Linked DNA regions of Schizosaccharomyces pombe. Each later gene encodes a partner of the first gene's protein in a complex. Each region holds a gene or a part of one and is shown on either strand. Other genes may lie near its edges. A codon is read from its position in the direction of its gene.

Region 1 (8,218 bases):
TCATCATCCATAGTTTCATCCTTCAAAGATTTTTCCAATTGTTTAATACGTCGTTCTGCTTTTTTACGTTCTGAGAAAATCAGTAAGCAAGTTCACTGAACAAAAAATGCTGTTTTTATATATGTTTCATACCAAAAAATCGAACTTTTTTGTATCTTTCAAAAATCTTTTGCTTTTTATGCTCTAACTGTGCCATAGACAACTGCTCTTGTAGACCCAAAAGAGCTCGTTCATGTTCAACACGAATGTTTGCAGGCAAATTCTCCTTAAAGGAAGTTAGTTTTCTTATTCATTAACATAAAAAGGAAGGTAATATTTATTACACACTGAAACCGCAGATGTTTTTAAACCAGCAAAAAAATTACACACCTTTTTCAATAATCTCTCATTGTCGCGAATTTTTTTCTTCAGCACAGAAAGTCCAGGGCCCTTAAATTTTGGCATGCTAAAACGCTCAATAAAATAGATAAATAGAAATTCAAACCATAAACAATTAGTTCTGGTGAAGAACAGTAGTAAACTTAAAGGACTGCAATTTTTACAGCTGCTAGGTTCTCAAGTGACACGTTACTTTTATATATAAGTTTAAGCTGGTAATTATGATTAAAATATTTGATTCACTCACACTTATTCAAGGTAGATTTATATGTTGTACTTGTGGAGTGATTTAAAAGCTTAGACTTTCAACAGTACATCAAAGAATCGCTTGTTCGACACCGAAGTCACCCTAGAGATTAAAAAGTATGCAAAAGATAGTTAATCTAGCAACCGGTCTGTATTTTAATACTACTATTGTTAAGAGAATCATCAATAGCAAAAAGAAAACCTTTGAATTTGACAGCCTCTTTTCAGTCCGTTGTTAAGGCATTTCTGTTAGCTATCGTTAAGCAAATTAGTGCTAAACGTTATGTTTGACGAGTGGTTGAGATTGAAGAACGCTTCGATCAAGCTCTGTTTAATGTTTATGCAGTATTTTGGGCGTTTCTGGTAAAGCCTAATTGTCAAATTTCTCTTTAGAGAATGTTAAATAGAAGTAAAAAGAGGAATGGCTGTTATTTTTGGGTTAACGGCTCCTCAGATGAGATTCGATATGTCGCCGTCAAAGCTTCCCCTAAAGTAAATTGGAAAACTCACATTATTTGGAGATCATTGAAAAATGTTAAATGTATAGACTCTTTTCACGGAAACAATGAAATATTGGGTGCTGGTTCTTCTACCGGAAATATATCATTGCTTTCTGTTAAGCATCCAGAATTTCAAGCAGTAGTAACACCTGGATATGCTCGCCCTTGCAATAGTTTGGCATTTTCTGAAACTGAACATCTTGTTGCTGGATTTGCAAAATCTCGAAACGAGTCTTCCTTGAAGTTATGGGACTTGAATTCATTACTGTCTGACCCGAAGAGTAGTCCCTTAATGCAGTCTTCTACTCTAGACGGAGTTTCTTCCGTTTGTTATAAGAAAGACACTCCTCTTTTGCTTACCGGATCAACTTCGCGTTCTGTCCATATAATTGATACTAGGCAGCAACTAGACTCAGTTTCTTCCGTCAATACGCAATATTATAGTAATATAGTTGTTGATCCATTTTCTCCTAACTATTTTGCCGCAAATTCTTATGATGGTGACATTGCGATTTTTGATACTCGATACTTCAAATCCGATAATTATTTACAAATTATTTTACGGAACGAAAATAAAAAGCCCAAAAATCCACAATTATTTGCACTGAAATATTCTGAATGGAAACCTGGACAATTGGCTGTTTTGTCAAACAATTCGATTACACTTCGTCAATTATTGCCTTGTGTCAATGGAAATGAAGGATCCGCAAATAATTCTGTCTTTGTAAATTATGAGAAGAAATATCCTGTTAAACCAAATTCACAATGTTCTGGCATTGATTTTTTTACTCCTTCTACAGCCTTTCCAACTCATGTTCAAATTTTGGGTGTCATAAACGAACAACCGAAACTTTTTTCTGTCCATGATGAGGTCATTCCCTTTTCATTTAACCCTTATAATGATTTGATATTTTCCTTCAAAGAAAAACTGTATCCTTTAAACTCTTCACCATTTAACACACTTTCTGATGTCCCACAATTTGATGTCAGCGAATTTGTCGATGAAAACTCTTTCGATTCCTCGTCTTCTTGTTCCTCCAAAGTCTTTCTAACGACAAGAAACAACTCAATCAATTCAGAGGATTCCGCTCATGAAGTATTGCTTTCCTATAACCGCGTCCTTGGATCTGATATTCAAGGGACAATACTAGATCGCGTCAAAAAGGGCTACCAATTTGATTCCCAAAAAAACTCAGAATTAGTTTCTGATTTATACTTAAAAGATCTATGGTCTTGGATTCACTTAAGCCATAGACAATCAGAAGAATCACTGTTTGGAGACACAGGAGATACAGATTTCAGCTATCAAGGTGCACTAGGTATTTGGTTTATGGATACTGAATTGACTAGCATGTCCGATGTTTTTGAAGCAAAAGAAAGCAAATTTTTAGAAAAAAAAATTTTAAGACTTGCTAGAGATGTTATTGAGAGACTTGATTTAGATATATTTACGTCTATCCAAACTAAAAGGCCTTTACGCCAACTCGCTTTACTTGCCTGTGGATTAGGAATGTCAAATGATGACTTGTTGTTGGAAATTAGAAGACTGATTCGCAAGAATGAGCATGTAAAAGCCGCTGGGTTAGCACTTTTCCACGGAAAAATTGAAAACGTAGTCCGTATATTATCAAGTGGGAATGAGCTGGAGAAGACCATATCCACAGCAGTTGCCGGATACATTACATCGCAAGGCTTAAGTAACTTTGGAAGTGACTCATTGTGGAAAGAAATGTCTCGTAACTTAAGTACAGAATTGGAAGATCCATACTTACGTGCAATATTTGCGTATGTTTCCAACTCCGATTGGAGAGATGTATTAGATGAAGTTTCTCTCTCATTAAAAGATCGTCTTGGAATTGCTCTTCGCTTTTTACCAGATGACGATTTGAGTAATTATTTGTGCGATTTATGTCACACTACAGTGCAATCAGGCGACCCAGAAGGCCTGTTACTTACAGGTTTAACTCCTTTGGGAATGGAACTTCTGCAGAACTACATTGATCATACAAGCGATGTTCAAACTGCTGCATTGATTGCTGCATTTGTGGTACCTAAGAAATTTCTGGATAAACGTGCAGAGGATTGGACTGAAAGTTATAGAGAGCTTCTAAACCGCTGGAAACTTTACCGTGAGCGTGCAAAGTTTGATATCTTTCGGACAGAACTCTCAAAAAATCACACAGGAGAAATAACCAGAAAGGCTACAGAGCCATCTATACGCATTATCTGCAATTTTTGTAGAAAACCAATTTTTCCTTTCTCCAATAGGAATGAATGTAATAATTTACCAACGCCAATTCAACGAGGTGTCAGTAAAGCAGGCCCAGCAAAACACTTGGGAAAAAGTTGTCCTCATTGCGGACAGCCTCTTCCAAAGTGCTCTGTATGTGGGTTTTCTTTAGGAGATGAAGATGTTCCTCAGAAAGATGACTTTTCTCAAAAACCTCAAAACTATGTCAAAGAAGTTAATCTTCAGAAATCTAGATTTGGGTTATGGTTTAGCTTTTGTCTAAATTGTGGCCATGGAGCTCACGCATCTCATGCTTCAGAATGGTTTTCAACTCATACAATATGTCCGGTTCCTAACTGTGATTGTGAATGCAAACTGAAATAGAAATTGCAAATGAGAGCATTAATTAATAGCATTAAAATAACAGTTTATGGTTTGGTTCACAAGTAATAATTGCTACATGAGTGAATATAAAATCCATGATTACAGCTTAAAAATGTTTAAGGCTAAGAGGTTTAAAGCATAAGGTCTTTAATACTATGATTTGTTTAAAAATTCGACATAGCTATCTACATTTGTAATTGTTTGATAATACCAACGTGGTTAGTTTTATTACTGAAAAGGGATTAACGCAAGATCGTTAATATTTAATTTTCTAGTAGCAAGAAGCGTCTTCTAGCTTAGCAACTTGGTAATTTTAACCGGTGGTACTGGTATTGAAGAAATACATATTTAATTTTTTGTGTAAATTAATTTGGCCTTAGTAAAGATATCCAAAGTGGGTTGTATACGGGCATTCGCATTTAACGTAATCGGCTCATCTCGTAAATTACCATATGTTTCCCGTTAACCCACGTAATTCGACATCGGTGACCGTTGCGAGACGATATTAAGAGTTTCAACTGGAACCAACTTCTCTTTCGCTTACCTTTTCATAAAATAATAGCAATGGCTTCGTTTAATGTTCCCATTATAATGGACAAGTAAGTATTGATGTAGCGAAGTTAAATTGTTCGTGAATATCAGTTACTAACTTTATTTGTTAGCGGTACCGGCTATAGCAAGCTTGGGTATGTGTAATAGTCGTTTTAGGATGTTATTATCTCTCTTTTGAGCATTTATTAACAGTAATTTAATTTCAGCTATGCTGGGAACGATGCTCCTTCTTATGTATTCCCCACTGTTATTGCGACGCGTTCTGCGGGTGCTTCTTCAGGGCCGGCTGTTTCATCAAAGCCTTCTTACATGGCCTCGAAAGGCAGTGGGCATCTCTCAAGCAAAAGGGCAACTGAGGACTTGGACTTTTTTATTGGAAACGATGCATTGAAAAAGGCGTCTGCTGGATATTCTTTGGACTATCCTATCCGTCATGGACAAATAGAAAATTGGGACCATATGGAGCGTTTTTGGCAACAGTCTCTCTTTAAATATTTACGTTGTGAACCAGAGGACCATTATTTTCTTTTGACCGAACCTCCTTTGAATCCACCTGAAAACCGTGAAAATACTGCAGAGATTATGTTTGAGTCGTTCAACTGTGCAGGACTCTACATTGCTGTTCAAGCGGTTTTGGCTCTTGCCGCCTCTTGGACATCTTCAAAAGTTACTGATCGTTCGTTGACCGGTACTGTTGTTGACTCTGGTGATGGCGTTACTCATATTATTCCTGTTGTATGTATAAAAAATCTAATACGAGCTTAGATAAACAGTTTTGAACATTAAATGCATATATATATGCCCGAATTTTACTAACTGATAAACCTTAGGCCGAAGGATATGTTATCGGCTCTTCCATTAAGACAATGCCACTTGCTGGTCGTGATGTTACGTACTTTGTTCAATCCTTATTACGTGACCGCAATGAACCTGATTCAAGTCTCAAAACTGCTGAAAGAATTAAAGAGGAATGTTGCTACGTTTGTCCGGACATTGTTAAGGAGTTTAGTAGATTTGATCGTGAGCCCGACCGTTATTTAAAATATGCATCTGAATCAATTACTGGACACTCTACTACTATTGATGTAGGATTTGAACGCTTCCTCGCACCTGAAATATTTTTTAATCCTGAGATTGCTTCTTCCGATTTTTTGACCCCTCTTCCGGAACTTGTGGACAACGTCGTACAGAGCTCACCCATTGACGTTCGTAAAGGCCTTTATAAAAACATTGTCCTTTCTGGTGGTAGTACTTTGTTTAAGAACTTTGGCAACCGCTTACAAAGAGATCTCAAGCGGATTGTTGACGAGCGTATTCACCGCAGTGAAATGCTCTCCGGTGCTAAAAGTGGTGGTGTAGACGTTAATGTTATCTCCCATAAACGTCAACGAAATGCGGTTTGGTTTGGCGGCAGTTTACTAGCACAAACGGTATGTCATTATCTTATGTTTGTATATTTTTTAGTTTACCCGTAGAGATTTACTGACATGTTTAGCCTGAATTCGGATCCTATTGCCATACCAAAGCAGATTACGAAGAATATGGTGCTTCCATTGCTCGTAGGTACCAAATTTTTGGAAATTCTCTTTAATGAAATATATCATGAGTTTTGCGTCTATAGGATTTACTGATTAAAATGAAAAGTTTAATGGAGCAGGCATTAGCCTTAGAAGAAATAGACTTGAGGTTTGCTATGTTTCCAGGCTTTTTCATTGAGCAATATCAAATAAGATGTATATAATTAACTTGTCCAAATAATAATGATGAGAACCATGAGAATAATAATATAGTGATTACTAATAACGTAAAAGGAGAAAAAAAAAGAAAACGGATGAAACCGATGGGTTCCGCCTGATAAATACTTTATTATTCAAGAACGATGGATAAAATGGAAAGTGTACAAGTACTCAACGAATTTGTTGAGAGAAAGCAGAAGCAATCAAGTAGTCATCATAAAAAAAACTAAACTTCATCATTTTGCGGAGCAGGTAATGATTCATAAGAAGGTGGGCGTTCAATTGCACCGGCAACAGATGGAACGTCGCCGACAAATTCACCATTTTCATCAAATATTGCGGGCGGGGGAGGTGTGCTTGTGGTGGGTAAAGTTTTCAAGTACTGCTGGTTAAGAGCAGTAATAGGTTCATAAAGAGGGAGGCAATCAGTCTGTCGAACATGATGTTCGAATTGTTGTGATGCTCCGGAAGAAGAGCGCTCTCTCCTGTGAATTGAGTGTTGTGTTCTCTGCTGTTCCCGTGCAGAAATTATGGTTCGACACGCTTTAATTCTTTCATGATGCAACATAAATATGACAAACACAACGCAGATTATCCCAAACGTTAATACCAACACTTTTCCCCAGAACTGGGAGTAAGGGTCATACGGGATATCTGAAGCATCTGATGTTGAAACCAATTGATCATTAGCCATCACAAGGTCTATGGCTGATATTTCTTCCCCCATTTTTGTTTGATTATAATTTTGAACGTGTAGTGTTCCCAGTAGAATTTCAATTGCCACGGCTCAATTAAGACTGAACGTCAGAAATTTACAACAATCCAGTGAACTCACTGATATAGCAAGGCAATTATTATTCTTCCAATTTAATTTTACTCAATTACTTTGAGGTTTGTAAAAGTGAGGTTAAAACTGTTGTAAAAAACAAAGATAAGCCATAAAGCTTCCCGTCTCCTTCCCCAGAGTCTGGATTTTTTTGCGATATTTACGGTACGATACGGCAGTCACCGGAAGCATCCAAAAGCTGACCATGTATAATTATATGCTTTGATTTCAGATCATCCGTGCGCCTATGTATTAACTGTGTTGTATAAATTTATTTCACAATCGGCAAATTAGTTATGAATTAATTACTTTTGGTATTTCTGCTCTTGGTTATGCAGCGTAAGTGAATTTGACGATCTCCGTTTAAATAATGAGCTACTACGAGGTGATCGTTAAATTGTAAACAAAAGATTGGTTTAGTATGTCGCTTGAATGGAAACTGCAAAGTTTTTAATTAGAGATTCATCTGTTTCATCTAAATCTAAAGCAATTAATTTTTCATCTCTTCAGTTGTTCTTTTTAATAGAGTAGTTGAGGTGGATAAATGTTTATTCAAATTTTTGTTATTCGGATTATTTCGTACAGGAGAAGCTATCACAAAGGTCAAAGCCATAATATATTTAATAATTTATTGTAAAGAGAAAAATAATTATCAGAAAATTCAACATATTCAATTTAAGGTCAAGCACACTGGTGTCCGCTAATGCGTTTACTATACTAAGCCCTCTGCTTGCTTACGTGCATCGCCACTACCTAGCTATAGGTGCTTGTTGCAAGACAACAAAGTCTCGTACCTTTGCAGCGTTAAACGATTTTTAGCAATTTCCTCTTTCTTTAAAATTTGGAATTAACTGATTGTTTTCTATTCCTGTAATGACAACGCTGGAATCTCTGGATATGCCAGAGATGACAGAGGTCGAAGATGATACAGTCGACATACACATCGACAATTCGAAGGTCGCTCTCCTTTTCTCTAAAAGCAAGGTGTTTGTTCATCCCACATCGAAAATGAAGGATAACATATCTGGCTATTTGTCCTTGTCTAAGTCAAAGGCGCTAGGAAATTCATCAGTGGCCGGAAGCGATATTTTGTTATCATGGGTTCCTGATTCGTTTTTAAAAAATCGTCCCAGGGATCTTTCCGTATTTCAAAATGCGGAAACCCTTTCAAACGGTTCTATTAGAGAATGGGTAGAGATTCCTCAGCATTTGGACTACTCTTTTTCTGTACGATTGTGCAGCATTTATTCAATTATATTTCGACCTCCTAGATATGGATGGAATTATGGTAGTATAGTGATTAATTTGAGAGACAGTGGTGAGAGCCTCCCTCCTCTTTTTTTTCATGATGATGAATGTATTAGTA
Region 2 (3,272 bases), on another chromosome or scaffold:
ATGCTTTTAACGTCGCATTTCATACTGAATTGCGTAAAGCAGGAAAATCAGTTTCTTGTGTATCCTTATATTCATTCATTTTCGAACCATGTCATGCGTGATGACCAGGTGCGTTCATTAAATATTCCTGATGCAGTTCCCTCTCAATATCTGCGGAATTCACAAAACTTTTCAATGGCAGCCGGGGATTTCCTGGAGGTATACGGCACCGAAGAAAGTCGTGATTCGTTTCAAGTAGTAGCTACCTGCTTCTTTATAGACACTACAAAAAACATACTGGACTATTTGGATACAATTAAAAACTGTTTGGTAGATGGAGGTTATTGGATAAATCTCGGGCCTTTATTGTATCATTTTGAGTCAGAAGGTACTTCTAATTCTAACAGTGATAGCCAGCAACAACCTTTCGTTGAATTGACTCTCGAGCAGCTGTTTTACGTGATGGATAGTATGGGATTTGAGGTTTTAAAGCACAATTCGGTCGACACGACTTATATGGGGGACAAACGAAGTATGCTTGAATGGATATACCATCCTCATTATTGGGTCTGCCGTTTGCAAAAATCAAAATTACGATTTCAATAAAAATTTTTGAACCAACATTGAATATTACGACTTTAATCATTCAAATATTCCTTTAGCATAATTAACAAAGCTAATTGATAACTTGTACATGAAAGTAAAGCGATTATTTTTGCATCTACTATCTACGTATAAAACTGCCTACATTAAATAAGCCATTCGTACGCTTCAAAAACTTTATAAGCCGCATTTGAAATAAAGGAAACGGAAAAACATAAAGGCTTTGAAATACAGTATGAGCCAAATTATTAATTAATAGACTCACAAAGCTTTGTTCATAAAACGTCTCTTGCTGAAGCAAGTCCACCACTTGCTGGGATGATCCTTTTCAGTTGCATATACATGGGACAAAAGACGATAAGCAAGTTCCTGACGAAATTGAGTAAGATATGTACGCATTATTTCTTTTTTTAATAGTTAGCAAATGAAAAAAAAAGCAAGAAAGCTATTAGCGGCACAAACATCTATATGTCTAATGCCACAGTTTGGGTGAATCTTACCAGCATCTTGAGGAGAAAGGGGAGGAGCATATAATGCATTCAAGGGAAAGCCAGCAGAGCCAGGAATAGAAAAATTCTCCAACGCTAAACTATTAAGTTGACGTTCAGCATCACGATAATTGAGTCCATTAACTCTTCCCAAGCACTCACTGATAAATAATGTTCCATAAATTAAAGTACGGTCTGCTGGTCCCTTAATCTCAAAATTGCGGAAGAAACAATTGGCGCGAAACAGCCCAATGCATTCATCAATAATATCCATTTGACTCTCATCAGCTGTATAAAAAATGTTAGAAAGTACTCTAATAACATTAAGAATAGTCTTTAAACAGAGTTGACAAATATCTGGAACATACCAGGATAAGCCGGTCCACGAAACTTGGTTTTCAACGGCAGCATTGCTATGTTTCCCGTGGTAGGGACGTCCGTAAGACTTAAGAAGGAGGAATGATAGGCCTTTCATAACATGTCAGCAACAAAAATTCAAAACTTTAGAACATACCGGCATATCTAATGTCTAGTGCTTATGATGTTGTTGGATAACTTGAGCACCTGCTGAATGTGCCGATAGGGAGCATTTCGTCAAGCATCAATAGTGATAAATTAGCTTTTCTTTAAACAAAATAGCGAAAAGCTATGTAATTACAGTAAAGCAATATAGCGTGTCGTTTTTTTGTTTTGTGATCGGGTCTCGGTCTCTACTTTATAACTAGTTTTCATCAATGGAAATGACATAGAGCCAATAAATTTGTAGCGAGAACCAAATTCATAAGCATTTGCACGAATGCATTTATTGCTTGAAAAATTATAAAAACGTCAAAAAAAGATTTTCATGTTTGGTTATTTTGATTTTGGGATCTAACGTACTGACTTATATGGGGATAGACGGTCTTTTGGGACCGTAAACATTACTACATCGGAAACAATTCCCCCCTGTTAAATCTTTCTGTGTTGGATATTTTAATACAGTTTAGTAGGTAATCTGTTTTCTCCAGAGTGACGGAATTGAGGATATATCTGAAAGAGCATGGAAAACCCTTCCCCAACTAGAACAACCAATTTGCAACGAATTCGGTCGTTGTACAGGTTACAAGAAGACAAGAATAATTTAAATATACCAGAACCTATTAATGGAAAAGTTCAAGAAATCGATACAAAAGAGTCATTGGAAAATGTGGATCGTTACGGAAACTATCGCTCAGACTTTAATGTTAATAATTTAGGGTTCTATAAAGTTAGTAAAGACCCAACATTAGATAAACCAAACCCTGCCAAACGTCTTGGCAATAAATTAATCGGCCATGATGACATGCTGAAGTACGTTGATGAAAGCATCTTCATGGTTGTTCCCGGCGAGTCGCATGACCGCAACGAAATATCAGCTAAAGAGCTTTCCCGTATTCAAAAATGGAAATCGATGTGTTCAATACACCTCGTTTCCGGTAATCAGCTCCATTCTTTTCGAAAAACTCGTAAGTTAATTTTACGTACATTTAAGGGGATTCCAGATTGTTGGCGATCTATTGCGTGGTGGTCCTTTCTTGTGGATTCTCTTCCTGATAAAAAACTGATTGACAAGTATTACCAATTGAACGAGCAGATTTGTGACTATGATGTTCAAATTGACCTAGATGTTCCCAGAACAGCTGCTACACATTTCTTATTCCGAAAACGCTACATTGGAGGGCAACGTTTACTATTTAGAGTTCTTCATGCTGTAGCTCTCTATATACCTCGTGTTGGATACGTTCAAGGAATGGCTTCTATTGCTGCGACCTTGCTCATTTACTATCCCGAAGAACAAGCATTTATAATGATGGTAAATTTATTGGAAAATAGAGGCATGGGGGACTTGTTTTCTTCCGGGTTTGATACACTTTTAAAGGCTTTTGACATGCTTAAGCATGAGTTAAGTTTTACACAATCAGGCAGACATCTGGCGGAAATTGGAGCAGAACCATCTGCTTTTGCTACACGTTGGTATCTCACTGTTTTTCATCAATGCGTGCCCTTCCATACTCAATTACGTATATGGGATCTCCTGTTTTTATTAGGTGGAAGCAAAGGTCAAACTGTCAGGTTATTGCAAGCCACTTCTCTTGCGGTTATACAAGGAATGTGGGACACGCTAATTGATGCAGACTTTGAAGTAGTAATGCAAGCTCTGTCAGGTGTTATTCCCATTCAAAA

Evidence for each region.
Region 2: the proteins of arp3 (region 1) and arc3 are in contact, whole or in part, in a crystal structure (PDB 3DWL), measured with the Schizosaccharomyces pombe proteins. Residues at the interface, in NP_592898.1 of Schizosaccharomyces pombe: Phe219 (codon at 5,187), Ser222 (codon at 5,196), Leu223 (codon at 5,199), Ile251 (codon at 5,283), Val252 (codon at 5,286), Leu266 (codon at 5,328), Asp281 (codon at 5,373), Val282 (codon at 5,376), Gly283 (codon at 5,379), Phe284 (codon at 5,382), Leu288 (codon at 5,394), Glu297 (codon at 5,421), Ile298 (codon at 5,424); in NP_596291.1 of Schizosaccharomyces pombe: Gly49 (codon at 1,320), Leu50 (codon at 1,317), Ala53 (codon at 1,308), Phe56 (codon at 1,299), Phe57 (codon at 1,296), Asn59 (codon at 1,290), Trp160 (codon at 891), Arg167 (codon at 870).

The regions. Positions count from the first base shown.
Region 1 is NC_003424.3:346,175-354,392, forward strand, and holds arp3 (ARP2/3 actin-organizing complex actin-related protein subunit Arp3), read left to right. Parts: upstream 1-4,258; 5' UTR 4,259-4,302; coding exon 4,303-4,337; exon of another isoform or gene 4,338-4,400; coding exon 4,401-4,424; exon of another isoform or gene 4,425-4,496; coding exon 4,497-5,025; exon of another isoform or gene 5,026-5,120; coding exon 5,121-5,720; exon of another isoform or gene 5,721-5,785; coding exon 5,786-5,881; 3' UTR 5,882-6,122; downstream 6,123-8,218. Other genes in the region: efg1 (rRNA-processing protein), read right to left, coding at 1-70, 133-265, 370-444; GATOR2-SEACAT complex ubiquitin-protein ligase E3 subunit Sea4, read left to right, coding at 1,021-3,738; SPOM_SPAC630.04C (uncharacterized protein), read right to left, coding at 6,253-6,753; GTPase-activating protein Gyp7, read left to right, coding at 7,726-8,218. UniProt on the Schizosaccharomyces pombe protein: Functions as ATP-binding component of the Arp2/3 complex which is involved in regulation of actin polymerization and together with an activating nucleation-promoting factor (NPF) mediates the formation of branched actin networks.
Region 2 is NC_003423.3:3,110,615-3,113,886, forward strand, and holds arc3 (ARP2/3 actin-organizing complex subunit Arc21), read right to left. Parts: upstream 1,624-3,272; 5' UTR 1,591-1,623; coding exon 1,585-1,590; exon of another isoform or gene 1,539-1,584; coding exon 1,439-1,538; exon of another isoform or gene 1,359-1,438; coding exon 1,083-1,358; exon of another isoform or gene 987-1,082; coding exon 844-986; 3' UTR 586-843; downstream 1-585. Other genes in the region: SPOM_SPBC1778.07 (carnosine N-methyltransferase), read left to right, coding at 1-585; SPOM_SPBC1778.09 (GTPase-activating protein), read left to right, coding at 2,110-3,272. UniProt on the Schizosaccharomyces pombe protein: Functions as a component of the Arp2/3 complex which is involved in regulation of actin polymerization and together with an activating nucleation-promoting factor (NPF) mediates the formation of branched actin networks.